3 linked regions of the Caenorhabditis elegans genome follow. The protein of the gene in region 2 purifies or fractionates together with the protein of the main gene of each other region. This does not show direct contact. Each region holds a gene or a part of one and is shown on either strand. Other genes may lie near its edges. The genes, in order: gba-4, Y45F10C.4 and hint-1.

Region 1 (13,592 bases), 8.3 Mb from region 2:
AGGAGAAAAAACAGTGAACATAAAAGTAGAGAAAAAGAAATGAGAGGAGAGGCTCAAGAAAAATGCAGTCATGAACAAGTAGCAAGTAAAGGGGGGAAAACGAAGAATGAAAGACGAGAATATTTATGAAAATAGATACAAAAATATGTATATCGAATGTATAGCTAATAATTCTATTCATCCCACGTGGCACTCAAATCATCATCCTCTCCGTTCTCTTCTTGCTCCGAGAATGATGCATCACCATGGAAGCCACGAAAACGATCACGGAGAGCAGCTTCGAAAGATGATACTGGACGCTTTTGGTGACGAACTTGGCAAGCAGGCGATCCACCGGGAGATCTGGAATTAATTATTTTATTCAGTTATTCGAAAAACCCAGGGATGAGCAGCAATCCCACAAAATGATCTACTTCGCAATGTTGTGCCAACATTTTTTTAGATCTGTCGGAGCTAATTTCCACTCATTCTTATTCCAAGCCTAACCTAACGGTCTTCTTCAACATGCTTCTTCCATGAGCAATATCCGTCAAGTACGGCCGATTCGACACAATTGTTTCTGCTGGCGGAAGAGATTTTGGAGATGATTTCTTTTCAGCAGGCTTTGATGGTGTTACTGTGGAAAGTTTGTTGTCTGATTTGATCTCAGAGAGCGGGATCTTTTGAGACATCTTTGGCAGCGGTGGCGGAGGTGGTGGTGGTGGAGCCATGCACATTGGAGCAAGTTGGACAGACGCTGTGGAGGTTTTGGAGCTTGAAGATGGTGAGCAGACTGATGGACCTTTTCCTTCATCTTCAGATACGTCTGACGAGGAGTTGGAGGAGATTTCGAGAGAAGCTTTCTGAAATGAAAAAAAGTAGGCATATATTGGAAAACCTTTAAACTTTTTTTGTGATTTATCTGAATCCTTGCTATATTAGACCCAAAACTACTAAATGTCGAAACGAGACTTTCTGAAAATTGCTCGAAAAAAAGTTATGGCATTTTTTTAAATTCTTGGAAAAGTCTCTCTTTTTCCTAAATGTTTAAACCGCCAAAAAAAAAACCTTTTTCGGTCATTTTGGGTCTAAGACACAACTTTTTAAATAAAACTATTCACTTTTGCAATTATTCCGCCTCTTCTAGAACTCGCTCTGGATGATGCTCTTTTTGTCTCAACTCCACTCTTCTGAAGGCACATTAGCTGCTTCGAAAGCATTGCCAATTGATTTTGAATTGCCGCCATTTGATCTTCAGTTGTCAATGCAGTAACTCCAGTTCGAGTACTTGGCATACTCAATCTATCCTCATCATCATCATCAAACGTCATTGACATTGGAACATTCATTTTTCTGAATTCACAGAAAGCATCTTCATCTTCATCGAACATCGGCTTCTGCCTTTCAGGAAGACATTCCCATTTCTCTGAGCGACGTTGAATAACTCCATCTTCTAAATCATCAGTGAGCAATATTTCTTCCATGTCGTTCAGTGTGTATCTTGGCATTTTGTACGTGATATTCTGGTCGCAGAGCTCATTCAGAATCACTTTCGCATCTTTTTTATATTCTAGCATGTTTCGAGAACTTATTGATTTCGAGAAAATACGAATGAGAATTGCACGAATTTGAACGGCTCCATCACCAAAGAAATTACGCATTCGTTGCCCATTTTCGCGTAGACGATGCCGCTGAAACAATAATTCATTTGAAAGAATGTTAAGATCAAGCATACCACCACTTCCAGTTCATCCATAACGATTTGCATGAGAATTTCGATTCCAGAAGTTGTGTTTACGACGGCAAGCTCATTGTGAAGACGTTGACGTGCAATGGCCAGCTGAAAATTAAAATTGTATGTACAGTTTTTAATTTTCAGATTTATTTTAAAGACTCACATCTTGTAACGTTGTCTGATTTCCTTCTTCCTTTATCTCTTCACCTTCGAAAATAGTCTTCTTGCTCTGTGGACCCGTCACAAATATCGTTGCTCGTCGTTTTTGCTTCTTTGACGGTGTGTCTGACATTTTTCTGAAAATTTGAAGAATAAAATTGAGGAAGACATTGATTTATTATATTTAAATGAGGAAAAGACATCAAAAAAGAGAAAATTAGCTGAAATTAAGAGAGAAAAAGAAAAAGCTGAAGAAAATGGGATTTCCATTTGAAATCCCCGCGATGTGCGATGGGGCGCGATTGCACCAATCTACCGTACACCTTTTTTCAAGCATTTTTCAAGAAAACGTCTGCAAGAATAGACGTTTTGGGCTAATTTGAAAAAGAAAAAAACTAATAATAACCAAAGAAACCCACCAAACTATTTACATAGTCCAGGTGGAGTACACCACAGAGGGTGTGAGAGAGAGGCAGGTGTTCGTTGCGAGACCCACTGCTAGGGGAAGAGGGCACATAAATTTTATGATGGCCATTGAATTGACAACCGATTCGGGGTAATTTAATGCACCCTGCTGGGTACGCAATAGATATGATATTGCTTTTAAAGACATGGGAACATATTCCTGAAAAGATATCGCGATTCGCAATTTCAAGATTTCTGTGGAATGTCTTTCGGAGTTTCTTGTTATAAATATACTTTTTCAAGTAAAAAAACAAATTGGAAACTGTAGAAAGCCTTGTTTAAACTACTTCCCTCGGATTTCAGATGACGATCCAGAAGAATGAAGTAAAAAGTCAATGGCCGAGGTCTGGCTTTTTTCTAGGCCACATCAAAAATGAAGTCACGTTGAAAAATTCTAGGCGAGACCCATAAATAACGATATATTCTGTTAACCTGGAGATTGCAGAAAAGAAGCCATTTATAAAAATCCTTGTCAAAGCTAGAAAAAAATTACTGTTTCTCGATCATCTCATTATAAGGTGTGGTACAATTTCCCCAATAATTGTTTCATGAAGTTTAACCAAAGTTAGTTTTTATTTTCAATGAGTAATGTTCTTCAGAACTCTTAAATTCCACTTTTTCTTGTCAATTCTCAAAAACAAACACACAACCAACAGAATGTTCATTTATCACATCTGTTTTGTGTAACATTTTTATTTTTCGTTTTCTCGTCTTGATCTCTCCCCATAACAAACATCTCTCAGTCTCGAAACTATGACAGCAAAAATAGGTTTTCTACTAATTTTAGCTGTTATTTCTACAGTTTCTGCTCTCCGATGCTTTGAAGGAACCGTCGCATTGGATAGCAATGATCAGACTTCAAAAAAGGTATTTAAATTTTATTTACAAATATTAATATTTAAAAAATGTGTATATTTCCCATACGCGAAACTTTGTTTTTTTTTTGCGGCAGAAAATACGGTACCAGGTCTCACCGCGACAAATTTTTGTTTAATAAATGCTAATGAAGAGTACGAGTTTCAAAAAGCGGTGAAACTCAGTTTCAATTTAATTTTTAACTAATACTAGATGAAATACAAAAATTTCCAACGAATTAAAAAGTTTTAAAAAAATCTTGCAGGAGTGCGGAGGAATGTCGAATTATTGTATTCAACGTATCGATAAGAAAACTAAAGAAATGAGGTAAAAGAGCTAATGTCTATTTGTTTCATGGTCAGTCATGGCTTCTCCCTCGTTTATTTGTGTAATCCTTTTGCGGACAGTTCTCGAAGAGAGCTTGATTATTTGCTCAAATCATTCAAATCATAATAGGCGCTTCCGTCTTTTACGTAATTTTACGTCATTGTGAGGAAAAGCTCATATCTTTTGAGATTTATGATAGCTGCTGTTTCCAAAAAAGGTGTGTAAAAATTATATTTACAAAGAAAATGTAAAGCGACTAAAAGTGAAAACTCGGCTGCTCTTTTCTTTCAGGCAAAGTTGCAAAAACTTAGAATTGTGTATTCTGGTAATTTCTAGCCCATTGTCAACCTATCGACCGAAAGAATGTAATTAGTCAAACATGGTGAAATATATCTTCTAGTTGAAACTGTAAATCAAAAAGTGACATGTAAGCTCATTTTTGTGTGTAACTTTTAAAAAATCTCTCTGAGATCCAAGCTTATTAATAGTAAAACAAAATTAAAGTGAATTCTTAATTTCTAATCAGAAACAGTAAAACAGAAACAATGAAATTTTTCTTGATTTCCTTTAACTCAAATAATAAAAATTTTTCTGTTTCACATGTTCTTTAAAACTCATTCAATTTAATTGTTTAACATTACATGCTTAACATTACGCCCAAGAATAATAATAATTTTGCAGACGTGAATGCAGTTCGTGGAGCGATGAGCACAGTATGGAGGAGAAATGTCCGGTTGGTTCATTTTTTTCTGAGCATCAGACAATTTATATCAATTTTAGATGACCGGATGCCATTTCCAAACCAAAGATTCCACTTTTTGTTGCTGCCAGTTTGATGAGTGTAACGAGTGGAAGGGAGAGTAAGTTACTTTTTTTTGTGAAACTTTTTTGAAATAGGAAATACGAAAATTTTAGGTACGAAATACTTACAAGAATTTTTAAATAGATTCCAAAGAAAAAAAGAAAAAAATATATAAAGATTCATTACACATTTTTAGAAAAAAAGTTGAATCGAAAAATCTTAAAGCAGACTTCATCTATATATTGGCTATTTTTAAAACAATTTTTTTCAGCGGAACCGAGTTCAAAGCCGGAGAAACTAGCTCAAAATCGAAAGCTGTTCCAAGTGCTCCAAAACTCGGTGACGTCATCATGCCAACTGCAGCAACCCGTAAGAATGTTCGTGTGCATTGAAATTGCTTTATAGGATGAGATCAATTTTCTAATGAAATTTGAAAATCAAGTAAAACTTGTGAAACAGTAATTTTTTCAAGTGACTAAAACAATTGCTTGCTGATTTGAACCAAAATGCTGAACTATTATGGTTCAGTTGAAATTTTAGTTTTCAAATTATTTAAATAACACTAAAATTACAGCAAAATTTAAACTTTCAGAAAAGTGAAGACATCGTTCAAATTCCAACTACTGTCGCTCCAACCAGGAAGAGCAGTTTTGTCGAGCTTCCTTGATTTCTTAATAAAAAATTTATTATTTTTCTAATGGTTTAAAATTTTCCCTAACTGATTAGTTCATTTTGCATGAAATAAATGTTCAAAATAAAAAAAAAGCCTTTTAACAAAGTTTTCAAAAAATAATAAAATTTACAGAAGCATCAAAACGGTTCGTTCCAACTCGTACTTCTTCTATAATTGAAATCTCATTAAATTGTGCAAGTTTTTTTTTTATGAAACGACAGTAAAAAGCATACCATGAGAGTGTTATTACATTAATTTTTCCCACGTAATTAAATTTAAACACTGAAACGGTAAAATTTTTTGAACCTGCTAATAATATGTTAAAGTTCCAATTTCTTTATTGTTTTCAGATCACTATAGGTGACAACATGTAGCTCACTCACGCTCATACCACGAACTTTATCATACCATGATTTGTCCATTGCCCCCGTCATTATCTATATATGTCCTGCATAGTTAGCAGCCTGAAACCAATAATTTATGTGTTTTCCCTTCTTTTTTCCATAATTTCTTATCAGTTTCAATTATTTTTTGATCAGAATATTCCAACTGATTAGTCTTTATAAAAACGTGGTCAGTGTCTTCAAATATTGTTCTTATCATTTATTCATTAGTAGTCTTGGAAAGTGTCCGGTTTTAACGGAATACACTAGACTAGGCTATCATGATTTTGAATATATCCGTTTCTTTGCTAATATTTCTGGCGTTTTATGGATTTTCAAGCGATGCAAGTGAGTAGTAGAAGTGCCTGGAAGTGTTTAGAAAAGTTCTAAAAAAATATTACTGTTTCTCACTAGGGAGTGCTTTCACTATACGGTGCGATCGAGTAAAAGTAAACGTGTTATGCGATAGCTGGCATCTTAGGCTTTCAGAATCTGTAATTTGTTTCGGCGGAAGACCTCTGTGAGTCTGGAAATTTTCATCTGAAAATGTAGTACTGAAATCAGTTCATTTCCTATGGTTAACAGTGGATTTTGTCTCTGGCGCCAACAGAAGTCTCACCACAATGGTGGAAGGGCGAAATCATCGCTTCGGTGGTCGAGTGGTGAACGCGTTCGCCTCTTGAGCAGAAGTTTGTCGGTTCGGTTCCCACACATGGTTTAAATTTTGGGTTCTTTTATACAAAATTTTTAGAACGGGAAACAAATGTTTAAAACAGTTTTTTGAGGTTTTTACATTACTTTTTTGCTTTTTGATTGAACCACAATTACCCTGGAAACTTTTCAGAAATTTTTATTTTTTTCGAAAATTGCCACTTTTTTCTCCCATGAGAAAATTGGTTCCAAAAATTTTGTTTGAAATTTTTTCAAAAATGTATGAAATATTGTAGAGTGTCACGAATAACTTATTTTTCATTGTTTTCAATGACCGAATCACTGATTCTGATGCCGTATCAAGACGTTTTACCAAATCGATATTGGCAAAACATCTTGTTTTTGAGGCTCCATATCTCTGCAGAAAAAATCGCACTAAAAAGTGATCAACTAGAAACTTGTTAAACACAATGTGATCTAAAACTTTTCAGTTGAACACTTTTTTGTAAAAAATTTGGTTCCCAAGATATAGACCTTTAACTATTTAGAATATTCAAAAATAATGACGCTCAAATCAATTGGTTCCAACCTGGCAACCAAATTTTTTACAAAAAAGTGTTCAACTGAAAAGTTTTAGATCACATTGTGTTTAACAAGTTTCTAGTTGATCACTTTTAGTGCGATTTTTTTCTGCAGAGATATGGAGCCTCAAAAACAAGATGTTTTGCCAATATCGATTTGGTAAAACGTCTTGATACGGCATCAGAATCAGTGATTCGGTCATTGAAAACAATGAAAAATAAGTTATTCGTGACACTCTACAATATTTCATACATTTTTGAAAAAATTTCAAACAAAATTTTTGGAACCAATTTTCTCATGGGAGAAAAAAGTGGCAATTTTCGAAAAAAATAAAAATTTCTGAAAAGTTTCCAGGGTAATTGTGGTTCAATCAAAAAGCAAAAAAGTAATGTAAAAACCTCAAAAAACTGTTTTAAACATTTGTTTCCCGTTCTAAAAATTTTGTATAAAAAAGGCCAAAATTTAAACCATGTGTGGGAACCGAACCCACAAACTTCTGCTCAAGAGGCGAACGCGTTCACCACTCGACCACCGAAGCGATGATTTCGCCCTTCCACCATTGTGGTGAGACTTCTGTTGGCGCCAGAGACAAAATCCACTGTTAACCATAGGAAATGAACTGATTTCAGTACTACATTTTCAGATGAAAATTTCCAGACTCACAGAGGTCTTCCGCCGAAACAAATTACAGATTCTGAAAGCCTAAGATGCCAGCTATCGCATAACACGTTTACTTTTACTCGATCGCACCGTATAGTGAAAGCACTCCCTAGTCAGTTATGATATGACAAATTGTCATATCATGACTGAGAAACAGTAATACTGGAACTGAATTCAATGGAACTGAATTCTCAATAATCATTTAATAACTTCTATTTAAAAAAATTTAAAAATTCCCATTGAAAAATATTGCCGTTTCCGAGGTATAATATTTGAGTTAGTATTTGTATTACTTAATTCGTGCAATTCGAACAAATCTTTTTTTAAACAAAATGTGGAAATTGTGGAAAGTTGATACAGAAGTTTTACAAATTAAAAATACAAATTAAAACAAATATCGAGCATGAAAAATGCATTTGAAGCTACAACTTTTTAATATTTATTTTCACAAAAAAAACTCTGTTCCAACATGATCTGTTAAAATCCCACACTTTTATGATTCTGTTGCGAACAAGAAAATGTATTAGATATAACTGTCCTCAAATGCGTTTATAAAATTTCAATAAATGCGAACCAAATGTGACTAAAACGGACAAATCTGGACTTTTGCACTCAGAAATCGATTAAATTAAGACCCTAATTCTTAGTTCGGATTCGTCAGTTTTGCTACATCTAAATTGGATTCAACGATAACAATATTTTTTGAAGACTTCTAAAGATTATGTGAAACGGTATTTAAAAAAAAATTTGTCATTTCAAAAATCATTGTAGACATCAATCTTAACATAATTGCCAACATGAAAAGTTTCTACTGCTCCGAGGTAAAAAAAAGTAAAAAAAGAAAAAATTCATAACTTTTTGTTGTTATCCCAATAAAAAATTACTGTTTCTGTGTTATAATATGAGTTTTGGATTGGTATTGAATTGATAATAGTATCTTTTTTCAATATTTGAGCAATGATTTCATTACGCTTATACACATATGTATCAGATTTTTTCAAATTGTCAAACATTTGAATTATCAGAGTTTACAATTAACAAACCTTAATTAATAGATAACAGATAACAGTTATAATTTTTTTTAGGAAAATAACTCAGTTTCAATCTGCTAAATGCAAAATTTAATATTTTTCTAATCGTAACTATTTTTCTTCAAAATTAATTTTCGTATCCTTTAATCTAAATGGGCAGCAGACTGTAAAAAAATTATTTTAGAAACTTTTTTAGAAAAAATGCTTTAAAAAAAGCTTTTTCATAATTGCATATGCAAGACTAATAGAAGAAATACGGTAATTAATGTATTGTATTCATTGCTTGCAATGTGCAGGCAAAACATGGATAAAACAGTTTTAAAAAATTCCGTTTCAACAAATTTATTTATGAAATGTAAAATTTGAAATATGTATTTCGTATGGTAAAAATTTTCATAACCACAATTTACAGAACTGGAAATAGCTTTAGACATTTTCTAAACACGTAGTCCTGCACAATTTCCAAAACCATTCCAACTAACTAAACACAACTGAAGCCAATTTCCAGAGTCCCTTCCTTGCTCCGAAGTGAAGAAAGAGTATGGAATAGTTTGTCGTTGCAATGCCACGTATTGTGATACAATTGAACCACTTGGAACTGTTACTTCTGGGAAAGCAGTTGTCTATACAACATCAAGAAATGGAAAAAGAATGAACAGAAGTGAATTGAAGCATACAACTTCTTCTACAGGTACGTTAATTGTATAGGAAGTTCCATGAAGGCACAGAATTCTTGCCTGCATTCCTGTCTGCCTGCCTCCAGAATACACCGGAAGCTTATCAGTAACTTCTGGTTCGAAACTGATGCAAAATAGGCGGTAGGCAGGCTCTTAGATAGAGAGGCAGGCACCGCTCAACTAACACAAAAACCTTTATAATATTAGAATTTAGAGAATGATATTTTTTTATTTTGAAGTTGGCAAAAAATTATTCTACTGTTTCACAATTATTTTGTAACAATTGTTGATATGATACATCGTTTTTGTAGCCAAAACAAAAGTATATGTGAACACAACTCAAAGTTTTCAACCGGTAATGGGATTTGGAGCTGCATTCACTGATGCTGCTGGAATTAATATGAAGATGCTGCCACAGACAATGCAAGATCAAATTATTCAGCAATACTTTTCCGATGATGGTAAGTTATTTTCAAAAGATTAAGCTTGAAAAATAAATAATTTAGGTCTCGGGTATGTTTTTGGACGAGTTCCAATGGCTTCAACTGACTTTTCAACTCACGAGTACAGTTATGACGACGTTAAATTTGATTTTGATCTCAAAAATTTCAATTTAACAGTGGAAGATCTCCAGTATAAAATTCCATTTATCAAGAAGGCAATGACAGCTTCTGGAGGGAAATTAAAGCTATTTGCAACTCCATGGAGCTCCCCAGGATGGATGAAAACTTCTGGAAGAATGGTTGGTGCCGGAGAGCTATTGGGAGATCAGAATGGAAAATACTATCAGACATGGGCACAGTACTTTGTAAAGTAAGTTCTTATTTTCAAAGAAATAAAAAATAAAATTATAAAATGAAAGATTCTTCGAAGCCTATCACGCTCAAGGTATTGACTTTTGGTCTTTGACACCACAAAACGAGCCAACAACTGGAATTGATCCACTTTGGAAATGGCAAACACTCTTTTTCGATGCATCAATGGAACGAAATTTTATAAAGAAACTTTTGGGACCAGCACTTGCTTCATCACCAGTGACTAAGAATTTGAAGATTATGATTAATGATGATCAGAGAATTAATTTGCCACACTGGCCAAATGTAGTAAGTTATTGGTGGGATAAAACATTGAGTAATAGGTAGAAATGATTGAATGACTAAAAATTAATTAGATACTGTTTCACATTCAAAATAAATATATTAAAATTATAAACAAAACAGTAATCCAATACGAGAAACAAAACCTCTTTTATTTATTGAAAATTTTCAAAACTTTTATAGCTCTTTCCTTTGTTTATTTTTTTGTTTTCTATTAGGTACTTACCGTTTTTTAACACTATTAAGACTCCATTGTAATTAAGTATTTTCGAATTTTTTTCGAATCAAGACACTAGAACGGTTATTTTAATTTTAAAACTCGCTTTCACCTACAATTATTACTGAATTGACCGAATAGTTCAACAGTTGTGTAAATTGTTTTAGAAAAAATTAAAATCGAACGACAAAATGTGCAAAACTGATAAGAAACGTAATGCTAAAATGGATTTGTTGAAACATTGAAACATATCAGATATTCAAAAATTGTACTGTTTCACATTCAAAATAAATATATATATAGAAATTATAAACAAAACAGTCGAAACAAAAGTACTGTTTTTGGGAATCAAAATTGAGGTATTTTTGAGCTTTCCGTAGTCTTTGGTAAATTATGAAACAAAGTGTAATGAAGTATTTATTGACTAATTGTTAGAATTTGAAGATTATGATGAATGATAATCAGGAAATTATTTTGCCAAATTGGCCAAATGTGGTGAGTTGTCGTTTTGTTGAAACAGTTATGCAACAGTAGGGAAAAACATAAAATAATCAAACTTTGTGCTGTTTTACATTCAAAATAAATATAAGAAAATTATTATTGCCATCAATCTTTCTTTGGCCTTGGGAAGAGTTATCCGCAGAATTTACCTATTTGAATTTTTAACCCTTGATTAAAAATCATATCCCATTCCGACGTCCCCACTCTTTTAAAATAAAATTTTAGATTTTAACGGATCCAACTGCTGCTCAATACGTCCACGGAATTGCAATTCATTGGTATGAAGACTTCATTGACCCAGCAACCGTACTCACTGAAACTCACGAGAAGTTCCCAGACTATTTCCTTTTGGCAACTGAAGCATGTGCTGGATACTTCCCAGCAGATGGACCAAAATTGGGATCATGGTCTAGAGCTGAACAATATGCAAATGATTTGATTAAAGATATGGGAAATTGGGTTGGAGGATGGGTTGATTGGAATTATATTCTTGATTTACAAGGTTGGTTTGTGAAGTGTAGCAACACTTGCGATTTTTTAATTTAAAAACATCAAAAACCATAGTAAGAAACAGATTTAGAATTTTAAATCTTTGATATAACTAGGTTGAAACAGTTTTCTAATATTTATTTTCCAGGAGGACCAAATCTTGCCAAAAACTTTGTCGATTCAACAATAATCGTGAATGCAACTGCTCAAGAGTACTACAAACAACCAATTTGGCATGTAATGGCTCAATTCAGTAAATTTGTGAAACCGGGAGCTATTCGTGTTGGAATAAACATTATTGAGAAATCAGTTGATGTTGAGGGTCTTTCATTTTTGAATCAAGATGGTACCAAAACTGTGGTTTTATTGAATAAAAATGAGGTAATTTAATCAAAAAGAGATAATCCAACATGGAATTATTTATAGTTCTAGTTTATTAAATTTTAGAAACAGTAAAACAAATTTTTATCCAAACTTCAGGTACTCAGCTTCGACGTGGCAATCAGTGACGTCAGTGCTCCAAATGTGATCTATGATTTGACAATCCAACCGAATTCACTGATTACAATTGTTTATAAATAAATTCTGAACATTTTTGAAATTTAGTAAAGAATTATGACAGTAATTCAAATCGTGAAATTCAATGTGTAAATAATAGAGTAAAATTGAACGTTATTTCCAGAAAATTTTTGTGGGAAAATTCATGGAAGTTTAATTAACTTTCAAGGGAAGCGAGATCATTGTTGAACCATTTTGCAAACCTGCATCTCTCTCCGTTATTTTATCAATTTTAAAACTAGTGTGTCTTGTGAAGTTTACAACACCTGAAACGTGACGTCAGTCGACTGCTTGGCGCAATGGTAGCGCGTTCGACTCCAGATCGAAAGGTTGGGCGTTCGATCCGCTCAGTGGTCAAATTTTTTTGTCGGAATTATGAAACAGAGTAGGAAATTCTGCAAGAGCGAAACCATAAATTTTATTGACAATTTTCATTTTGTAGATAAAAGACGTATTAAAAACATATTCATTCAATTAAAATTTATACAAAACTATCAGAAAAGAACCCGTCAAAAACTTGAAATACCCTAACCTTGTGGTCGACCTGAAGTAACATTAAATTTAAATTTGAAGTTTTGAGGCTTCTTAATTTCATCCATGAGACACAGCTTTAGCCATTGAAGCAACGTCCAGACAAACTTCGGATCCCGTTGCAGAAATGTTACGGAACATTCCACAGCACGCGATTTTTCCGTGTCTGAAAATGGAAAAATCCGGTATTGGTAAGATATGATTAGTTAAAACTAATTGTAAGTAGAATTTTTAAATCTAGAATTTAATTATAATTTAGTAAATTTAAGCGCTGAAATAAAAAGTCTGAAATAAAAAACACAAAATTAGACAATTGGTTTTCTAATTTTTTTCTGCTGTTTCAAAACATTTTCTTATTCACAAAAACTTTAATCAAAACAATTGGCCGTCCATACTCACGTAAAAGTCAATTGTCGTTGTTCTTCCATAATTCTTGCATTCTCACTCCAAATTCTTGCATAACATGGAGCGCTGAATTCACTCTGGAGCATCGTTTGCATTGCTGAAGTGGTAGCAGCCACTCCTCCGAAAATTGCAAATACTGAAATGGAATATTAAATAAATGTTTTCCTAAATTGAAACAGAAACCAAATGCTCAAACTACCCTAAGACAAAAAAAAACTAACCAAGAATTAAGATATTTGCCAGAAGTTTGATCTTATCCGAGTTTTGAAATATCTCCTTAATCGTTAACTTTTCCTCATTATCCTTATTTTCTTTCTTTTTCTTAATTGTGGTTAGCGCCAAATTAAATACAATTGGAACTACTAAAGCCATCATTGTAATTGTTGATCCACCGACAAGATCCAATAAAACTCCAAAATTTGGAACAGATTCCGCGACAAAAACTACTGAAAGCATAACTAGAGCTCTAGCCACGATTCTTTGCCATCCAAAATCTGAAATAAAAAATAATATTTAATTTTTCAAATGTTATGTTGCAGAAAAAAGGGCAAAAAATGGCAAATAAACCGTACCATGTGACATATTCAAAATTTCCTCAAATTCCTGGTTCAATGGATTGAAAGTGATTGTGAGAGCCAATGAAACATGAAGACTGATCAAAATATTCACAATTGTTTGGATATTTATATTCTGTAAAATTCTATTGAAACGAGGAGAACAATTTCAAAAAAAATTCACTGCTTCAAGATTTCAATTTACATTTTTTGTTAGAAAAAACTGTTGACTGAATCCGTATCAAAAACACAAAATATGAC
Region 2 (8,921 bases):
AGCTTTCCAGAATTTTCCAGAAGGTTCTGGAACATTCCAAAATTTTCCCGAAGTTTCCAATTTCCCTTCCAAAGACGGATAGTCAATTTTTCCCAAACTACAATAATCCTACAGTACTCCTACAGTACCTCTCCAGTACTACTACAGCACCCCGACCATATCCCACTACTAACCCCAAACCTATATCTCTTCAAAAGACAAAAGCTCAATTTTTCCTAAACTACAGTAATCCTACAGTACTCCTACAGTACCTCTACAGTACTACTACAGTACCCCGGCCATATCCCACTACTAACCCCAAACTAATATCCCTCCAACAGCCGAAAACGCCTTGCCTTTGTAAGCTATGACGTCACAGACTACAAACTACGGCACAAACGGAATTATTTTTTTTATATATAGGTTTTATATATAGGATTTTTAATACGAGCATTTGGCTTCCCAAGCTTTCATAATCGCGACGAGGCCTAATTGTTGATTTATCGGGGTATGTTTTCTCATCAAATTCTTTGTACCGCGCATGTATGAAACATTTGAACAGGTGTGTCCTTGTGATCTTCATGGGATGTAATTTCGGTAGTGGTTTGATCCAAAAGCTCAATTCAAAATGGAAACCATGGAAATGAATATTTTAACGCTAACAATTTAACTCTGAGATGCACTTTTTCAGAACAACAGCACACTTTAAAAGTTATGCGATCGATTGAAAAATTGATTAAAATTGATTAATCAATTTAATTGGTGATTTTAAAACTTCGAGTACTGTAGCCAAAAGTGGTTGCGTACTTGACACATTTGACGCGCAAATGCACAGAGACTCCATTTTGGGATTTTCAGATCGTTTTTTTTAAAGTTTACTCGTTTCTCTTCGTTTTTTGTTCGTCAATTTATTTTTTTGTATAAGAAAAATATAAAAATACTAGTTTTAAGTAATTATATGGAAAAATCCCAAAAAATGGATTTTTCAGACTTGAAATTTGTTCAAAAAATTGACCTACCAAACAAACAAACATAAAAAACATTTAGCGCTAAATATTCAATTTTCGTTGAGAATTCTTTGTTTTCCATGTTCACATTCACTTCTTCCAAATTTTCCTCGCGTTTTCCATTAATAAAATTATATTTTTACAGATAAAATCTTAAAATGAGCGAAGCTCCTCACTCTTCCAGCATGGCGGATAGCAATTCCACAGTAGAACAATATCGTTCGTTGAAACGGTGAGTAATTGAAAATTAGATTCTAAAAATCATGATTTTCCAGGAAAATGATCGAGAAAAAGGATCTGATGAGAAACAATCGAACAGCACTTCGCGCATGTATCCTGTTCAATTGTCTCCTCGGAACTTCAATACGAGACGCTTATAATCAATTTTGCCGAGCCGTTGGATCCGATGTTATGGAATATCGAGAATACGAGTTCTGGTTCTATCAATTTAAAAGAGGAGATGCTGATTTCAGCGATGCAATTAGGTATTTTCAGAGACTTCAAAGAAATCAATAATTTCATTTTTAAAAAATTGATTTTCAGTTGGAATCCAAACACAATAAAGCTTGATGAATTGCCAATCGAAGTGATTAATACGATTTCCAGCTTCTCTATGCCAATGGAGAGGTTTGTTAGCCAGTTTTATTCAAATTTAAAATGAAAATTTTCAGACTAACGCTTCGAAAAGTGTCTAAAAACCTGCGCACACTCATCGATTCTGAGCCGTTTTGTTTCCAAAGGATTATAGTACGAATTGGACATCGAACATCGTATCTTCAATTGGACGGTTATCCGGGAATTGAATATATTCATTGTGGTGCCGATTGCAATGTTTTATATGGAAAACGTGATAAATATGTTAAAAACAAGAATCACGTTGAATATGCTCTGACGGAAGCCATTCAATTGATGAGAAATTCAAATAATCACAGCAAAGAGTTCCACGTGAGAGCAGAACGATCAAACGATCAGGAATTGTCAATGGTTCTCAGGAAATTTTTCGATTCTGTGGAAATTGAGCTTTATGCGAAGAAAATTGTCGTCAGTGGATTCAGTTTTGCCGATACATCTTCGGTTCTTTGCCATTTCAAAGCGGGATTTCTCGAGGAAATTCAGGTGTTACCGGGTTCCGGTGGCCCGTGGACCAACGTACTCGTCGAAATGGAACAATACAAGAAGGCAAAAGTATTGAAGATTTGCACGGAATTTCCAGTTTTACTGGATATCGAGGATTTGCTGCATTTCCGACGGTTCGAAATTGCGATAAAATCAGATTTCACTGAAAGAATGGCCAGAAAAATTCGCGATGTAAGTTTCCATTTTAATTTTCGTAAGTTTTAAATTTAATTTAATTTATTTTCCAGGTTCTCACCAATTCTGAACATTTCGAATATGCCCACATAATAACTCAAGATCTTCACCATCGGACAGTCATTAAATTCTTCAATCGAAATGCTGAAAATGTATTCTGGAATTATGGATCCATGAATTATAATAACAAGAAGCGCCTCTTCCACATTGAGTACAATCACCGACAATTTGTAATCAAAAAATTAAACATGTAGATAATCAAACAAAAATTGCCTTCTTCTCGAAAATGTATGTACTGATATTTGATTTGCACACTTACCCCTTGTTTTACTCTTTTTACTCTGAGATTTTTCTTGCAATAAACCTTTGTTCAGGTTAAAAATAAAGCACATTATCACGAAAAAAAAACTGTCAAAGAATAACTGAATTCACAAAAAAGTTTCGGTTCTTGCAAATTTTCAAATTCAGTTTTAAATTGTTCCATTGTCATACACTTTAGCAGACCTGCTCATATTTAACATTATACAGAAAATGGAGATAAATTGGAAATAAAAAATATTGATTCATCATTTCTGATGAACGGAAGAAGTCGGGTTTATTGCCTCTTGGGTTATACAGTCCTGCTCCCCGAAAAATTTACTGTTTCACCCAGCTAGCAAAAACACTGAAGAATTCTCGAGTGACTGTTTTGTCATTTAATTTGAACTAAACATCAGCTCCAATGACCTTCTCTGAAATATTTTTGTCTCTAAAAACCTGAAAATATATGCAGAAACAAAAAAAACTAAAATTGTCGAATTTTAAGTTTTTTATAAAAACCCCAAAAATGGCAGTACATTTCAAAATTCGGCTCTTGTCTTGTATAGCCCTGCTCTCGAAAAAATTTACTGTTTCACTCAGCTAGGAAAAGTATTTTCAAAAATTCTGACTTAATCTCAAATTGATCTGTTGAGGAAACATGTATTCTTTAAGCTCCATTGGATTGGTTTCAATTGACAGAAATAAATTTGGTGGCAATTTTGCAACAAACTCTAAAAAATAGTGAGCCTGCTTCATCGATTGTTGCATTGGAGGGGATAGGTATTTATAATTTTGAAATGTCCTTTTCAAAAAAAAATCTACCGTTTCACTCAACTAATAATTATTATGAATTGTTATTGGATCACTTTCCATACGCTTCAAGCAAAATCAGCATTTTCTACGGCTTGGGATGCATCTTCTAAGAATTATTGGAAACATTGGGATGCTGTTGAGCGGCATGTTTTACTCTTTTTACTCTAAATTCTTTCAATAAAATTTTGTTCAGGTTCAAAATGAAAGCGAGTGTGGAGTACAATATCACAAAAAAAAGAACTGTCAAAGAATAACTGAATTCAGAAAAAAATTCCGTTTTTGCAAATTCCCAAATTCAATTTAAAATTGTTCCGCTTTTTTTTCGATTAGTCATAAACTCTAGAATTGTTCCGCCGTTTCCCACAATATATTGTGAGAAAAATAAGAAAATGGAGTCTATTGTTGTTAAAAGTATAAAAGTGACAAGCTGAAATCACTTGATCATCAACCAAATCAATTGATAATCATGAATTTCCTTCCCTCAACTGTCCTTTTACTCTCATTCGTCGTGGCTATCATTTCTGGAAGTTTCAGTTCTATTAGCGAGGAATGGAAGGCAGTCTGCGAATGCAATTTGTCAAAGCTCAATAATCATGCGAAAACCGGAAATTGCAAGGTGGCTTCTAAAACCTTATAAAATGAAACTCTAAGAGCCTTTTATCATTCCTTAAAAACTAGGAATTTCATTCAAGTTTACAAATTGCTTCCTTTTTTGTTGAAAAACGATTGAAAATGGAAACTTGCACAGCGGTGTAGTGCTAAAATTGAAAAAAATTCCAATTTTTTGTACGCATATTTGCTTTTTTCAATATTACACGAGGAGGCAAACTCTTGTACATGGGCAGACTTTTGCATTATAACTTTGAAAATAAATGAAAAACTTGACATCTGCGTAATCCAAATTCTTGCTTTATTTTTGAATTATTCATTTACCAGACAACCGCCTTGTGGAAAGTCACAAGTGATACAAACTGCACTGCGTCAGAATACTTGAAGATTACTGTATTCCCAGCTAATGATGATCCTCTCAATAGAGTTGAACAATGTACAATGACACCGTACGTTCGTTTCAATAATTCTGACATTAAAGGAACACTTTCAGATGTGACCAAACCGAGAAGACTCCTGCTGACTGCAATGTAGCGTTTTCCGCTGCAAAACTTGCTGAAATTGCGAAAGAAGAAAAATCAAAAATGATCATTTGAAACAAATAAATCGTTTTGATAATTTCATTATGTTCTTCATTCAAAATTAAAGTAAGAAAGTGGAAACATTATGAAAACATCAAAAGAAACACAAAATAATAAGGCGATTTCTTGCAATTTTTCAAATAATCATACATTTTCCTTGAAAAAATCACATGTCAAGAGCTCATTGTGCAAATCTAGAAGTATATATTTTGCTAATCATCTGAAACTTTTTTGGAAGAAAAAACTTAAAATTTTGCGATAAATTCTGTGTAACCTAACGAACGTTATTTTCAAAAATTAGCAACTTGTTACTTTCATTGTTTTTTTTTGGAAATTTGAAATTTTCCCAAATGTCACAAATGTCACAAATGTCACATGAATTTTGTGTAAGCTAACATTTATCAAAAACTACCAACTTTTGACTTTCAAATTTTTTTTTTCGAAAATTTATAATTTTCTCAGATGATTTTAGCATCCAAGTTGTCAGTTTATTTCAAAACAATGTTCTCTCCAGATCTAAATCCAATAATGCCATAAGTAAAAACACGATGCTTTTAAGATTTCAATGAAACAGTCGTTTTAATGACAAAAAAACAGGGAGAAAAGAATGTTCAGAAGTGGTTGCATTTTCCAATTTTATTTTTTTAAACACAAACTTTAAAAATTCGTCATTCCTCTAGTTTTCATTTGTTCTATTTTTCGTTGCAAAATGCAGAAATTTGTTTCTTTTGTTGTTAAAATTATAAAAGTATCAACCTGAATTCATTTCTGAATCAACTTGTTATCATGAATTCCTTCGTCTCAACTGTCCTTCTCCTCTCTGTTACAATTGCTTTGGTGTCTGGATATCCATCCCAACTCCAAACAACTTGTGTCACAAAAGCTAAAAGTTGCACCATGTTCTTTTTAAATGGAGTATATTGCACCGAGTGCACGGTAAATTTTCGTATATTTCTTGGAAAAGTCTGAAAAAAACTTTAATTTTAGTATTCTGGAACTCTTGAACTGAAAATTGGCTCAACATGTACTTTTTCCATTTACGAGAAAAAAGTGGCGAGCCAGCCAAATGAAAATTCACAAAATGAAGTAGCTCAATGCAAACAGTCATCGTAAGTGGTTTCCGAAGTTTTCAGAGAAATTAAATAAATTCCAGATGCTACTCAAATCAATATGTACCAGTTGACTGTGCGGCTGCTTTTGGAAATGAATATATCACTTACATTGAAAATCAGTAGAACTTGAGATTAATGAAATATATATTTTTGTTGGACTTCTGATCTGTGAGCTTTCAACGTTTTCAAACTGATAATAAAAGAAAGAAAAGCATTTTGGAGTTTCCAGTGAATATTTGCAGCAAAATCTAGTTTATTTCTTGCCAAAAATAATATAATAGAACAAATACAATCTTGACAATGAACACGACATTTTTCGGTTTGTTGCAAAATTTAAATAAACTCATACTCAAAATATTTTACTGTTTCAATATTGTTTCATTACGTTTTATTCGATCTGTTCTTTCAATTATTTTCCAAAACTTTTGTTTCTATAAATAGAAAAGAATTAGACTGCAAATTCGAACACAAATAGTTTTGCAATTAACCTTGTTTTCAAATTGTCGACATCTTCCTAGCTGTTTGCAAAAATATTTCATATGGATCAGCTCATAATGTACTTGTCTTCTATTGCGTAATTAATCCTCTACACAATTCCAATGTGACGCCTCCTGTTTGTTGATTGAAAAAAAAACTGTCATTTCTTCTTTACTTTCAGTGAGATATTTTGTCAAATCTTCGGCAGTACCAATTTCCGTCAGCAGCAAGTTTCGGATTCAAAGATTCGGTGAACACATTATCATTGTATTGCAGTTTTCGAAATATTACATCGTAGAGCCGGTTCGGCTTCGAATATTTAAACATCGCAATTCCAATAAAATAATTAGTTTACTGAATTTTGATCATCGCATGTATACCTATAGAAGTTGCTGTTTCATCTACCATATAAGAATACTACTACTGATGTTGATGCGTTTCTCTTTCCGGTTCTAGAGCTTTCTGAAGTTGCTCAATTTTCGCTACATCTATTTTCTCCTAGAATAGTGTTCTTCCTCCATCATTTAAACACTCAAACTGCAATTTTCAGAGATAATCCTTTTCTCATGTTGGCAATCACCTAGAAATCTGCCAAGTTGGGATGCAGTGGCACCACAGGACCCAAGTCACAACACCGAGTTCCAGTTTAATCTTGCAGAGTTCAATTTGTTGTCCTAAAATTAAAAATAAATGTATTTTTTCAAGTCCTATGTTTTTTCTTGTAATTAAAATCAATATTAGAAAATTGCAATATAAAACACTTCAATTACCAAAAAAAAAGTTTTTGAAAAAAGTTGTAGATATTGCAGAAAATAGTTTTCACACAATTTTGGGTGTTCAGTTTTCATGCTCTAACAAAAAATCAATGAAATTTTCAAAAGAACACAAAGACGTTATACTTTCTACAGCTTTTAACTCTGTCCGTATGTGATATAAGAGAAGTTGCCAACTTAAAAGTTGTTAGCAATATAATGAGCAACAAGTTTATTGTTGACTTTTTTGTAGAGGTATAAACGTCATAAGTTGACCACAATGTACTAGTTATATCTAGAAATAAAAAATCTCAAGAATGCCCATAACATCGGAAATTTTGCATTTTTTTACAATTACTAAACAGTTCTTTATAATCAGTCCACAAAAAAAATGTCCAAAAAAGTTCATAAGGGTTATGATCTCAAAAATCGTCACCAAGTCATCAGAAGAATATTAGAGTAATATTTTTTTATTAAATAGACAATTTCATAATGTTTACTTGAAACCTACAAAAATTCTTCCCAATGCCGTCTTTGAACGCGATGTCCCCTTTCTCGATGCCTCCTGGGAACATGTGTCGCAAAATTAGAACATACCAATCTTTAAAATATTTTACTGTTTCACAATACTTTGAAATAGTTGAATATATACAAACGTCATTGCTACACTGATGCAAACAAGTTACAAATTCCTGAAACTCGTTTGTCATCTGCTCATTCATACGTGCAGATGATTGGTGTGCTGCTCAAAACTTTCCCTGTCCGGATTCTTTTTGGCAAGCAATTTTTCTAGCCGTTCGATTTGTTCTTTCAATTTTTTCTTTTCTTCACCCCACACCATTAATTGTTGTTCAAATACACGCAAATTTTGAAGTTCATATATATTTTGTTTATGCATCCCCTCCAAGGATACAATTTGAGTCTTCAATTTTAAGCATGTTGGATTCGGAAACAGAAGTGCACCTGGACCGAAAATCTCATAACCATCGTCTATCGAAATCATCTTCCTGATATTTTTAAACATAAAATTCAATTCACTATCCTCGTTACTCAGAAATGGTGAGGTGTTTGAGGGGAAATACGATGTAACGAGAGTTTCTATAACGTTGTCCATGATAAACTGCTCCATGGTGCATTGGAGGAGAAAAGTAAATGGTCCGATGTCCGTCGGATCCCTCTATACACTCATAAAAAGTGTTCCAGGCCATCGTTTGACAAAATCGTTCAGGCTTGAAGTGTTTCTTAGAAGTTCATCATTAATAAAGTTTTCCAGACTTTATCAAGTTTTCATTGCTGGTATACAACTGATTAAAGAACGCATGCAAATATAACTTTATTACATATAGAAAACAATAGAAGGTATGCTGAAAACTTGATTTCTAAAAATTTAGGTAAAAGTTGAAAACGTTTTAATTAATTTAAAAATTTTTTTTTTTTTTTTTATTTTTAATTTAAAAAAATAAAAAATATATTTACATATAATTTTCCCGTCGCACGGCGAGCACGTGGAAGAGGTTTCCTCAACTTACTAAATATTTTTATTTCAAACTAAATGGAGTTCATATTCAATGATGACTTGAAGCGACAAATGGATTTTCTTATTGATTCAACAGAACATGCTACGGAGCGAATCAAGTTATGCCCTCTTCTTAAAAAGTTCAGTGAGCGCTTTGGGCTCAACTATTCGACCTATCTTTCCCGGTAGGAGTTGTTAGTCTGGATATTTTTAAAACTCATGTTTTAGATTCCATCAAAAACTTTGTCCACAAATAAGTAACATGGATACATACAGTGTCGAGAGCCGGATTCGACTACTTTTTGCTTTATCTGGTAAAGTTTCGGATGAATTCCTTGCAAGGTGGGATTGTAATGACATTTTCAGTGTGAGAACAAATAATTTACAGAATGCAATCCTTGGGAAACGTCGAGCTCTATGAAAACAGACGAATTGAGAAATTCGTTTCAAACGATGAAAGTCTT
Region 3 (8,716 bases), on a different chromosome or scaffold from region 2:
TTCGTATTGTCACTATTGAATGAAATTTTAGCAAAAGCATAACAAAATTGAAGTTAACATATACAATCCAGTTTTGAACTTCCGCCAAAAACGGAAAATGCGTCAAGAAAGCTTGCTGGCGCTTTGAAGGATGGCGCAGAACCCGTTTTTCTTCTAGATTTTTAAACACAATTTTGTTTTCTTTCACTTCTTTTCCCACTAAAAACGATCAAAATGGCTGATATGGCTAAATTCGAAGAAGAAGTTAACAAGCTCAGAACTCTTGAAAAAGGTTAGTAACTGTTAATTTAAACAATCTTTTCAATCGTTTAATTATAGACCGCGAAAAGTACTTCACGAGTCGCCAAGAGATGGAAATGAGATTAACTGAGAGTAAAAATGTGAAAGCGGTAAGAAAAAGTTTGAGATTCAGTTTTCATGTTATCTTCATTCAGGAGCTTGATCTGATGGAATCCGACTCGAAAGTCTACAAACTCATCGGAGCGGTTCTTGTTCGTCAAGATTTGGAGGAGGCTCGATCGACTGTGGAGAAACGGCTTGAGTTTATCGACTCTGAGACGTGAGTTGTAACGTTTATCATGTTTCTTTAGTATTACTTCTTGCACGCTATTGATTTACACGAAACAAATAAAAATAACAAATAAATTTTACCTTTAAACGTTTTAAAATGCAACAAAACTTTAATTACAATTTTCAGCAAACGAGTGGAAGCCAGCATCTCAGACATTTCGAAGAAGTGTACGGAACAGCGAGACAAGGTGATGAATATGCAAAAAAGCTTCCAGATGATGGCTCAAGCAGCAGCCCAAGCACAGAAGAAATAATCCAGTTTGTTCTATGAATCTCATATTTTTTGCTCTTAATTTGTTATTTTTTGCCTATTCTTCATCTCTGGTGTTTCTCCGAAACGAGAAGATCACATTAATTTTTCTATGAAAAAAATAAGTTTCTTGTTTCGGGGAACCATTTACAATAAATGCTTTCAAACTGTTTTATACCATTTGTGCTCACGTCTATGTTAAAAGTCATTGCTAATTACATCAGTTCTGATTTATAACTATATTCATTTTCTTGCTATTCAGATGCATAATGGGTACCATTCTTATTTTCCTCCAAATCACTATTATGCTCAAAGTCAGCCATCATCGTCGTATAATCCCCAACCACAAATTCAACAACCGCAAACCCAAATATATGGATTGGTAGTTGGTTACAATAAATATGGAAACAGAAATTATCTTTTCTATACCAAAAATATCGATGGATTTGTCGAAATCAGTGGAAATATTCAGAGCCTGCAGATAGGACGCTGGCTAAAGTTAGACATTATTTTATCTGATTTTATTAACTAGCAATTTTAGATTAACTGTTTGTCAGAACTTCGTGGGACAATACGTATTGGATTCCTCAAATAGTTGTGGATATGAAAACTGGGACGTTTTGCCGAATCACAGAAATTCATCGGCGAGATTCTTTCCGAAGTATGAGGCTAACGATGAAGGAGAAATTTTGGTAATCTCAAATGGAAAAAGTTTTAATAAATAAAGAGTACGGATTTTTATAATTTTTCAGATAACAGCTCGATTTGATGTAATAGTAGATCGGAAAAATAATTTGTATGATTTCACCAGTTACGATATTTCCTATGATCATATTATTGACGACTTTAGTCTGATCAAATCATCATGTCAACACTATGATGGACGCAGTTTTATTGTTGAAGTAAGTTATCGATTTTAAAAAAAACTATTAAAATAAAAATATTGCAGGCTCAAGCATCTCTGGCAGGTTGGGTCGCATTGAGTGTGCATGAAGATCCACAAAAGCTACACACCTGTGATGCTGTAAGCCGAAATGGATATCAATCAGTATGTGGCAAAAGTGTCCTGGTTCATTTTGAATTGTTCACATTTTGGTTTTTGCTTATCAAAATTTCCCAGAACATATAAGCCACAACCTCCTGCAGTTTACATAATATAATTTCAGCTCCCGAATCCAGTCGTTGATTCTGATGTACAGTATCTTCATGATACAAGACTGTTGGATGTATGTGACTTATAGTTCAGAATTTTTCAAGTAATCACATTTTTAGATTATGACTGGTAATGGATATGTTCAAACACCCGAAACCGACGTACAAGATCAACAATCAAGTCAACATCAAGAAGACGTGCATTCTCAAATGAACTCGCAGACATCTGATTCGTACAATTCCTCTAGAGTTGTGTCAGAGAATCGGGAAATACCTCCGGAAACTTTTCGAAGCCAAAGTATCGAATTGAATCAAGTTGATTCATCCTTGTCCCAGACTACAATCTCAAGTCGAGCAGCACCAGTTATTGATTCAAATCAGTTATCAGATGAAGATGAAATTGATGATGAAGATACATACGGAACACGTGGAACATCTAATATTCCGATGAGACCGTTTATTAAAGATTTAGCTCCAACGATGCTTCAACTGCTTCGTCAAGATAAAACTGATTCCGAAAAAGTACGTAATGCCAGAACAATAATATTAATCTTCATCACCATATTTCAGCCTCAATCTGCTTTATGCACCGTTGTGCAAAAAATCGATGGCTTTGCAATTTTGTACACAGCCAAAAGAGACGTTATAAACGTTTTGCTTCAAGAAAGATCGTGTGAAGGATTGGAAAGATCCCCTCAACTCGGAGACGTGGCATTCTTCGATATCTTGCCTCGTAGAATTGAAACAAAAGATAGGCTCATTTTCAAGATTCCATATACACATATTGCAGGTATTTTACAATTTACCAATGTTTTAAAAAAACTTTAATTTTAAGTGAAAAAGAAACCAGACACGCCAGATTCTCTCCTTAAAATTGATTGCTTTAAAAACTCGGTCAGATGCTTCGGAGGAGTGCTTGAAATGAAAGTAAAAATCGCACTTTCAAAACCTGAACTAGTAGTGGAGCAATATCATGACAACACAGAGATGAACTCGGATCATCATTTTTATTATTTGAAAGCAACAAATGGAGTACTTGTCACAATTCCAAAAGAACGTCTTCTGAATCATTTGAATTCGAAATTATCAGCAGATTTTGACCTAATCGCGTGGGTTGTTCATCGAAAACCAATTGGAAATGTTTCATTACATATTGGAAAGGGAGGTGAAGCTTATCAACAGTTCACAAATGGAGATATTCGAGAGCTTCCGCCATTGTCTTCTAATCAATATTTCATGAATGGTAAGTAAGAGGGAAACCGAGTTTTCGAAGAAACCTAGGAGAATTCTTGGTTTTCTATTCAAATTATTATTTCAGTTCGAAAGTAAAAACTGCACAATCGACAAATCACGTTATGGGTTCAAATTGTATTCTGGTACATTAATTCTTGTTCTTGTGTTAACTTTTTTGATTATTTTTTGTATCATTTTACTGATTAAAGCATTTATTTTCACATGTTTATTGTTTATTTCTCGTTGTCTAGCGTTTTCATCGTTTGAAATATATTGCATATTGGTTATTTTTTGCCCATTTTTCAATATTTTAGTATGGCTTCCTCTTTGGTTAAAACCGCTTTGCGTCTTGCTTACCGTAATCCAGTTAGGTCAGGGTTACTGTAGGCAAGGTGTCTTTATCGATTCCACCATTTTTCAGGTTTACAAAGAGAAACATGTCGGAAGTAGATAAAGCCCACTTGGCGGCAATTAACAAAGATGTTCAAGCCAACGACACTCTTTTCGGAAAAATAATTCGAAAAGAGATTCCAGCGAAAATCATTTTTGAAGATGATGAGGTATGTAAGATCAGGCAAACGATCACATAAAATATTTATTTAAGGCTCTCGCATTCCATGATGTCTCTCCACAAGCTCCAATTCATTTTCTTGTGATCCCTAAGCGTCGCATTGATATGCTCGAGAATGCCGTTGATTCGGATGCTGCGCTTATTGGAAAGCTTATGGTTACTGCTTCAAAGGTAATTATAAATGAGTAAAAACGAATTTGAAAATCCAGAAATCTCCATTATATTACTCTTAAATAAAATTCCAGGTTGCAAAGCAGCTCGGCATGGCCAATGGATACCGTGTTGTTGTGAACAATGGAAAAGATGGAGCTCAATCAGTTTTCCATCTTCATCTCCACGTTTTGGGAGGACGTCAGCTCCAATGGCCACCTGGATAAATATTGCATTGCTTACATTCTGCCACTAATTCATTATCAGTCTTGTAAACAAATCAGTAAAAAATTATATTTATATTTATTTCCAAAACTATTTTAAACCGTGGCATCATGTTTTTTGAAATAAATGCATTCTTTTTCTTCTATCTGACGTGTTCAATTATTGAAACAATTAATCATTTCTGGTATAAAATATGACGCTGTACGATAAAGTGAAATCAATTCTGACGATTCCTGACAAAAATAGTAACGATTCGATCGTCAACGCAACTGACTTGTACTTGGAGTGGGAGAAAGGAGACGGGCAGTGTAAGTGTCACGTGTTTCAATGGCAAAGAAAGAGTTTTTAAATGTCATGAAATATGAATGTCGCCGGGCCCGGTTAGCTCAGCCGGTAGAGCACCAGACTCTTAATCTGGTTGTCGCGGGTTCGAGCCCCGCATTGGGCTGATCTTTTTGTATAGTTCAATTTTTTTCAGATCTTCTTCCACTCTTATTGATTTTCGTTATCTTCTTTTGCATAACTTGCGGTGTGTTTCAAGCTTTGTTGAGCCTTGTGGTTCTCTGTATCAGAAGCCTTTGCGGATTTGATGAGGAAGATGAAAACTTCAATATCAATGGAAACCACTTTGCTAGAAATTCGACACCTTCTGAACATCACGAGGAAATTGGAAATTTGGTACGGTTGTTTTAAAAGGTTTTTTGATTATTATATTTAGAAAATAACAATATCAGAAAATCACAATAACGGCCATTCAGATTTTATTCAAAGCGTGTCCTTTCCATGGTCATAAACATGATGGAAGATCCAAATTAAAAGTAATTAAGTGATTGAAAATGATTATGGGACCTTTTGAATGAAATTTTGTTTCTCAACCTAATGTAAGTCTATTTTAGATGGGAACTGAAGCTGCATCCATATCTGAACTTCCTCAATATGGAACACCACGAACCAGAAAATCGAATACTTCTTCATCTCAGAACAGATGCCTTTCAGTTTGATTCGTTGAGTGAATTGGATTCTCAAACTTGATAACTCGTACCTTGATATCTCAATAAAAAGAAAATGAAAACTATGATAAATTCATATTCCCAAATTTCTACCATCCACTTGTTATTATTAATCTTTGTGTTTTCTTCTGTTATTTTTGTTAAAACATCTTCCTTAAAAACAGGTCGAGATAGAAAGTGTACTGTTCCAGTGTCACGACAATCAACAAAATTGCAAGAGTATAAGAGAACAATTTACAAAAATTGGATTGGAAAATATAACAAAAATGATCCGGTATATTATTCTGCTAGTATATTTTCTAATTTTTGAAGTAAACTCTCAGTTAGACTGCTCAAAAGCTCCAACTCCTGCTATTCGAATAATGTGTAATCAGATTCAAAGATGGGATCAAAAAGCAAGGGTAAGTGGTTTAAGGATTACATTATTTGAAGAAATGTACTGAAATTATTCTTAAACTTTTGATGCATAATCTTAAAGTTCAGGCAACTCCATCATTATCCGGTGACGTGAAAACACCTGGAATTGCTGGTAAAGCAATGGCTGCTGAATTTTCTCCAATTGCAAGTAATGTGTTTCAATGTATGGATATCGCTTGTCTTTGTGTATTTTTCAGAGGTAAGTAACATAATCTGTCATAATTTTGACAATTATAAAATAGCCTCAAAGCTGATCTATAAAAGATAAATGTAATATAGAATGTAGAATCAATTTGTGAGCTTTCATCGTTTATACTTTTGGTGATCAAGGAAGTATTCCCAATTTTTCGTTAGTTTTTTCAGGAACCGGTGGAAATAATTGCGTGGTTCAAGGTCGTCCACTTGGAAAAGTCGTAAGAAAAGAATACCGTATGCTTTCTGATGATGAACGACAACGACTTCATCAAGCATTCCGAACTCTGAAACAGAATGGAGAATACGATCGACTGGCAAGAGTTCATGCTCAATATTCTGAAAGTGGAGCTGCTCATTCTGGACCAGCATTCCTTCCGTGGCATAGAGAATTTGTAAAAAGAATGGAGTTCCTGATTCGACAGGCTTGTTATCTCTCGTATTTAAAATTGAAAAATAAATATTGTTTAGGTTGACCCATCACTTCATCTTCCATATTGGGATTCATCATTAGATCAAAATCTTCCAGATTCAAAAGATTCAATCTTGTAATTATTATTTCAATTTACAAATTTGATTTCAATATTCAGATGGACGAATGAATTTATGGGAGATGCCAATGGAGAAGTTAACAATGGACCATTCAGAAGCTGGAAAACTGTAGAGGTAAGGAAACACTTTATTTCAATTCTTATAATTTTTATAGAACAAACCAGCAATCACAAGAGCAGTCGGGGCTCAGGGAAAAGGATATTCAGAGGATGAAATCAACACAATGCTAGGACAAACAGATATTGCTCAAGTTCTTGCTTTCTCTGCTCCACAGAGGGTAATCATCACATTTTCTCCTAAACACTTCAAAAATTATTCTAAAAATGGAGCGAACATGGCTTTTGTTATAAATTATAGATAATAGTCTGCAAATATCGAATATAACTTTCAAAAAGTTTTAAAATTTAATAATGTTCCAGAAATGTCATTAGAATTAACCAAAGTTTTCCAATCGGCTGAATTATTTGCAATTTATTTCACAAACTGGTTGAAAAGGCATATTGAAAAACAAAAAATGCGATGAACTTTGAAAATAATTACTTTGTGCACATTTCAAAACAAAATTAGCCATTGAAAAAATTTTCGCAACTATGAAGAGATTTTTGAAACTAAAAACCAATTTTTTTTACATATCATTAAAAAACTCACGGAGGCTAGAACTTCTGAAATGTTTTTAAGTCTCCTAAAATTCAAATTTATAGGGTTGTCCTTATCAACCAAACTTTAACGTCCCTGAATACACTCATGGAAATCCTCATATATATGTTGGAGGTGATATGTTAGAGACATCAACAGCTGCAAATGATCCAATATTCTGGATGCATCATTCTTTTGTTGATCTTCTTTGGGAAATGTATAGACAATCAAAACAGGTAAAGTCATCAACATTAGCAATCATTTATTTATTGATTTTAAGACAAGAGCAACACGAGAAACAGCGTATCCAGCTGATAATCGACAATGCAGTAGTGAGCATCATTTTAGAGCAGCTTTCATGCGCCCATTTACACCAATGAGAAATGCAGATGGACTCAGTAATATGTACACTGATAATTTATATTCTTATGCTCCAAGACCGTCATGTAATGCAGGACCTACATGTGGATCACCGTATGTTTTTCAAAAATTTGACCCAAAACTATCTGGTGAGCATTATACAAATCGGTATTATTATAGATATCTATTCTGTGACAAATCACACGGAGCTCCTCGTTGTGCAGTTCGAATGAAGCCTGAGGGAAACTGCGCTAGTTTTAAGAATGGAGAAGATGCATGCTATCAAGGAAGTTGCCAAAGTGGAAAATGTGTTGCAGGATCACAAAATGTTACTCCACCACCAACAATTCAACCCACAAAGCCAGTGGTTACAGTTGAGGTATTTAGTGAAACATGCTTAAAGATTAGATTGAAATTTTTTCAGACATCTTGTTTTAATGAAAATGAATGTTGTGGTCCATGGTCAGCAAAAGGAGAATGTCAAAAAAATCCAGTTTATATGAATGTTTGGTGTAAAGCATCTTGTAGGCAATGCACACCAAATTATAATATTAATGAAGGTACGTTATTTCAGGATTATTTTAATTTAACTTGATTTCGTGTTTTTTTTCAAATGGTCTCCACCTTTTTGAGACCTCCTTAAAATTTCGGCTAACTTTAGCTATAATTTAAAATTTTGGCAACTTATCCGTGTTCAAGCGACTTTAATGTAGTCTCTATTCGAACAATACCCGCCGTTTAATTTGTGTTACATTGATTTAAAAAATGTGTTTTCAACAATAGAATTTTTGAATTTCAAACTATTTTGGATATTTTAAAACAAAAAATCCATGCATGATAACCCAAGCTTACTCAGAGACTTACCCAGGGAATTATATAAAAATATTTTTTACTTAATTTTTTTCAGAGTGTTCTGATCGTCACACCAACTGCGCAATGTGGTCTCGGTCTGGGGAATGTAACAAAAATCCGCTTTGGATGTCAGAAAATTGTCGAAGCTCTTGTCAAAAATGCGGCCGATCAAGAGCAGCAACATGTGGAGGAGGTGGTGGAGCTGATAGTATAAGCAATCGTAAGCCATTTACTTTGCTTGAAATATAATGTTAATCTGGAAGGAATTTCAGCAACAACGATGCCGCCTGCAACAAATAATGGACAACAGAACACTCCTTGTGATTCACCGATGTGCTACAATGAGGATCAATGTTGTCCTATTTGGGCACAACGGGGACAGTGTAGGGTGAGAAATTAATCTTACTTTTTACTGCTTCTACCATTCCATAACATCACATTTCATGACGTAACTTCTACCAGAACATTGAAATTTTCAGTCGAATCCTGGTTACATGACATGCCAATGCAAAGTGAGCTGTGGAGTGTGTCGACCAAATTATGTTT

The links.
Region 1: the proteins of Y45F10C.4 (region 2) and gba-4 fractionate together in Caenorhabditis elegans (co-fractionation; one large-scale study listed by BioGRID). This does not show direct contact.
Region 3: the proteins of Y45F10C.4 (region 2) and hint-1 fractionate together in Caenorhabditis elegans (co-fractionation; one large-scale study listed by BioGRID). This does not show direct contact.

The regions. Positions count from the first base shown.
Region 1 is NC_003282.8:5,342,906-5,356,497, reverse strand, and holds gba-4 (Putative glucosylceramidase 4), read left to right. Parts: upstream 1-5,600; 5' UTR 5,601-5,659; coding exon 5,660-5,726; intron 5,727-7,076; exon of another isoform or gene 7,077-7,149; intron 7,150-7,568; exon of another isoform or gene 7,569-7,589; intron 7,590-7,776; exon of another isoform or gene 7,777-7,797; intron 7,798-7,936; exon of another isoform or gene 7,937-7,957; intron 7,958-8,202; exon of another isoform or gene 8,203-8,223; intron 8,224-8,677; exon of another isoform or gene 8,678-8,698; intron 8,699-8,810; coding exon 8,811-8,993; intron 8,994-9,281; exon of another isoform or gene 9,282-9,290; coding exon 9,291-9,440; intron 9,441-9,485; coding exon 9,486-9,792; intron 9,793-9,841; coding exon 9,842-10,082; intron 10,083-10,199; exon of another isoform or gene 10,200-10,223; intron 10,224-10,614; exon of another isoform or gene 10,615-10,635; intron 10,636-10,899; exon of another isoform or gene 10,900-10,924; intron 10,925-11,019; coding exon 11,020-11,296; intron 11,297-11,343; exon of another isoform or gene 11,344-11,364; intron 11,365-11,431; coding exon 11,432-11,664; intron 11,665-11,670; exon of another isoform or gene 11,671-11,691; intron 11,692-11,763; coding exon 11,764-11,865; and 2 more. Other genes in the region: Y4C6B.1 (WH2 domain-containing protein), read right to left, coding at 174-342, 487-842, 1,101-1,670, 1,715-1,819, 1,878-2,006; Y4C6B.7 (Activin_recp domain-containing protein), read left to right, coding at 3,092-3,205, 3,459-3,520, 4,202-4,253, 4,301-4,380, 4,594-4,699, 4,915-4,989; Y4C6B.2 (Amino acid transporter transmembrane domain-containing protein), read right to left, coding at 12,433-12,538, 12,772-12,913, 12,999-13,271, 13,350-13,467. UniProt on the Caenorhabditis elegans protein: Glucosylceramidase that catalyzes the hydrolysis of glucosylceramides into free ceramides and glucose. C.elegans contains specific sphingoid bases, which are unique or different in structure compared to the sphingoid bases found in other animals.
Region 2 is NC_003282.8:13,659,120-13,668,040, reverse strand, and holds Y45F10C.4 (UPF0375 protein Y45F10C.4), read left to right. Parts: upstream 1-3,850; 5' UTR 3,851-3,876; coding exon 3,877-4,026; intron 4,027-4,346; coding exon 4,347-4,468; intron 4,469-4,512; coding exon 4,513-4,615; 3' UTR 4,616-4,643; downstream 4,644-8,921. Other genes in the region: fbxa-215 (F-box domain-containing protein), read left to right, coding at 1,145-1,218, 1,262-1,471, 1,530-1,613, 1,658-2,294, 2,351-2,551; UPF0375 protein Y45F10C.2, read left to right, coding at 5,387-5,536, 5,588-5,709, 5,754-5,835; Y45F10C.1 (SPK domain-containing protein), read left to right, coding at 8,494-8,642, 8,686-8,799, 8,846-8,921.
Region 3 is NC_003279.8:7,275,238-7,283,953, reverse strand, and holds hint-1 (Histidine triad nucleotide-binding protein 1), read left to right. Parts: upstream 1-3,626; 5' UTR 3,627-3,642; coding exon 3,643-3,765; intron 3,766-3,809; coding exon 3,810-3,947; intron 3,948-4,021; coding exon 4,022-4,153; 3' UTR 4,154-4,284; downstream 4,285-8,716. Other genes in the region: pfd-6 (putative prefoldin subunit 6), read left to right, coding at 214-271, 319-389, 435-559, 698-824; rde-2 (SH2 domain-containing protein), read left to right, coding at 1,083-1,318, 1,362-1,512, 1,573-1,722, 1,770-1,868, 1,987-2,046, 2,093-2,494, 2,543-2,762, 2,808-3,215 and 1 more; F21C3.7 (Small integral membrane protein), read left to right, coding at 4,345-4,459, 4,630-4,829, 5,048-5,152; Putative tyrosinase-like protein tyr-3, read left to right, coding at 5,428-5,562, 5,645-5,777, 5,942-6,195, 6,242-6,318, 6,361-6,436, 6,477-6,599, 7,024-7,194, 7,239-7,432 and 4 more.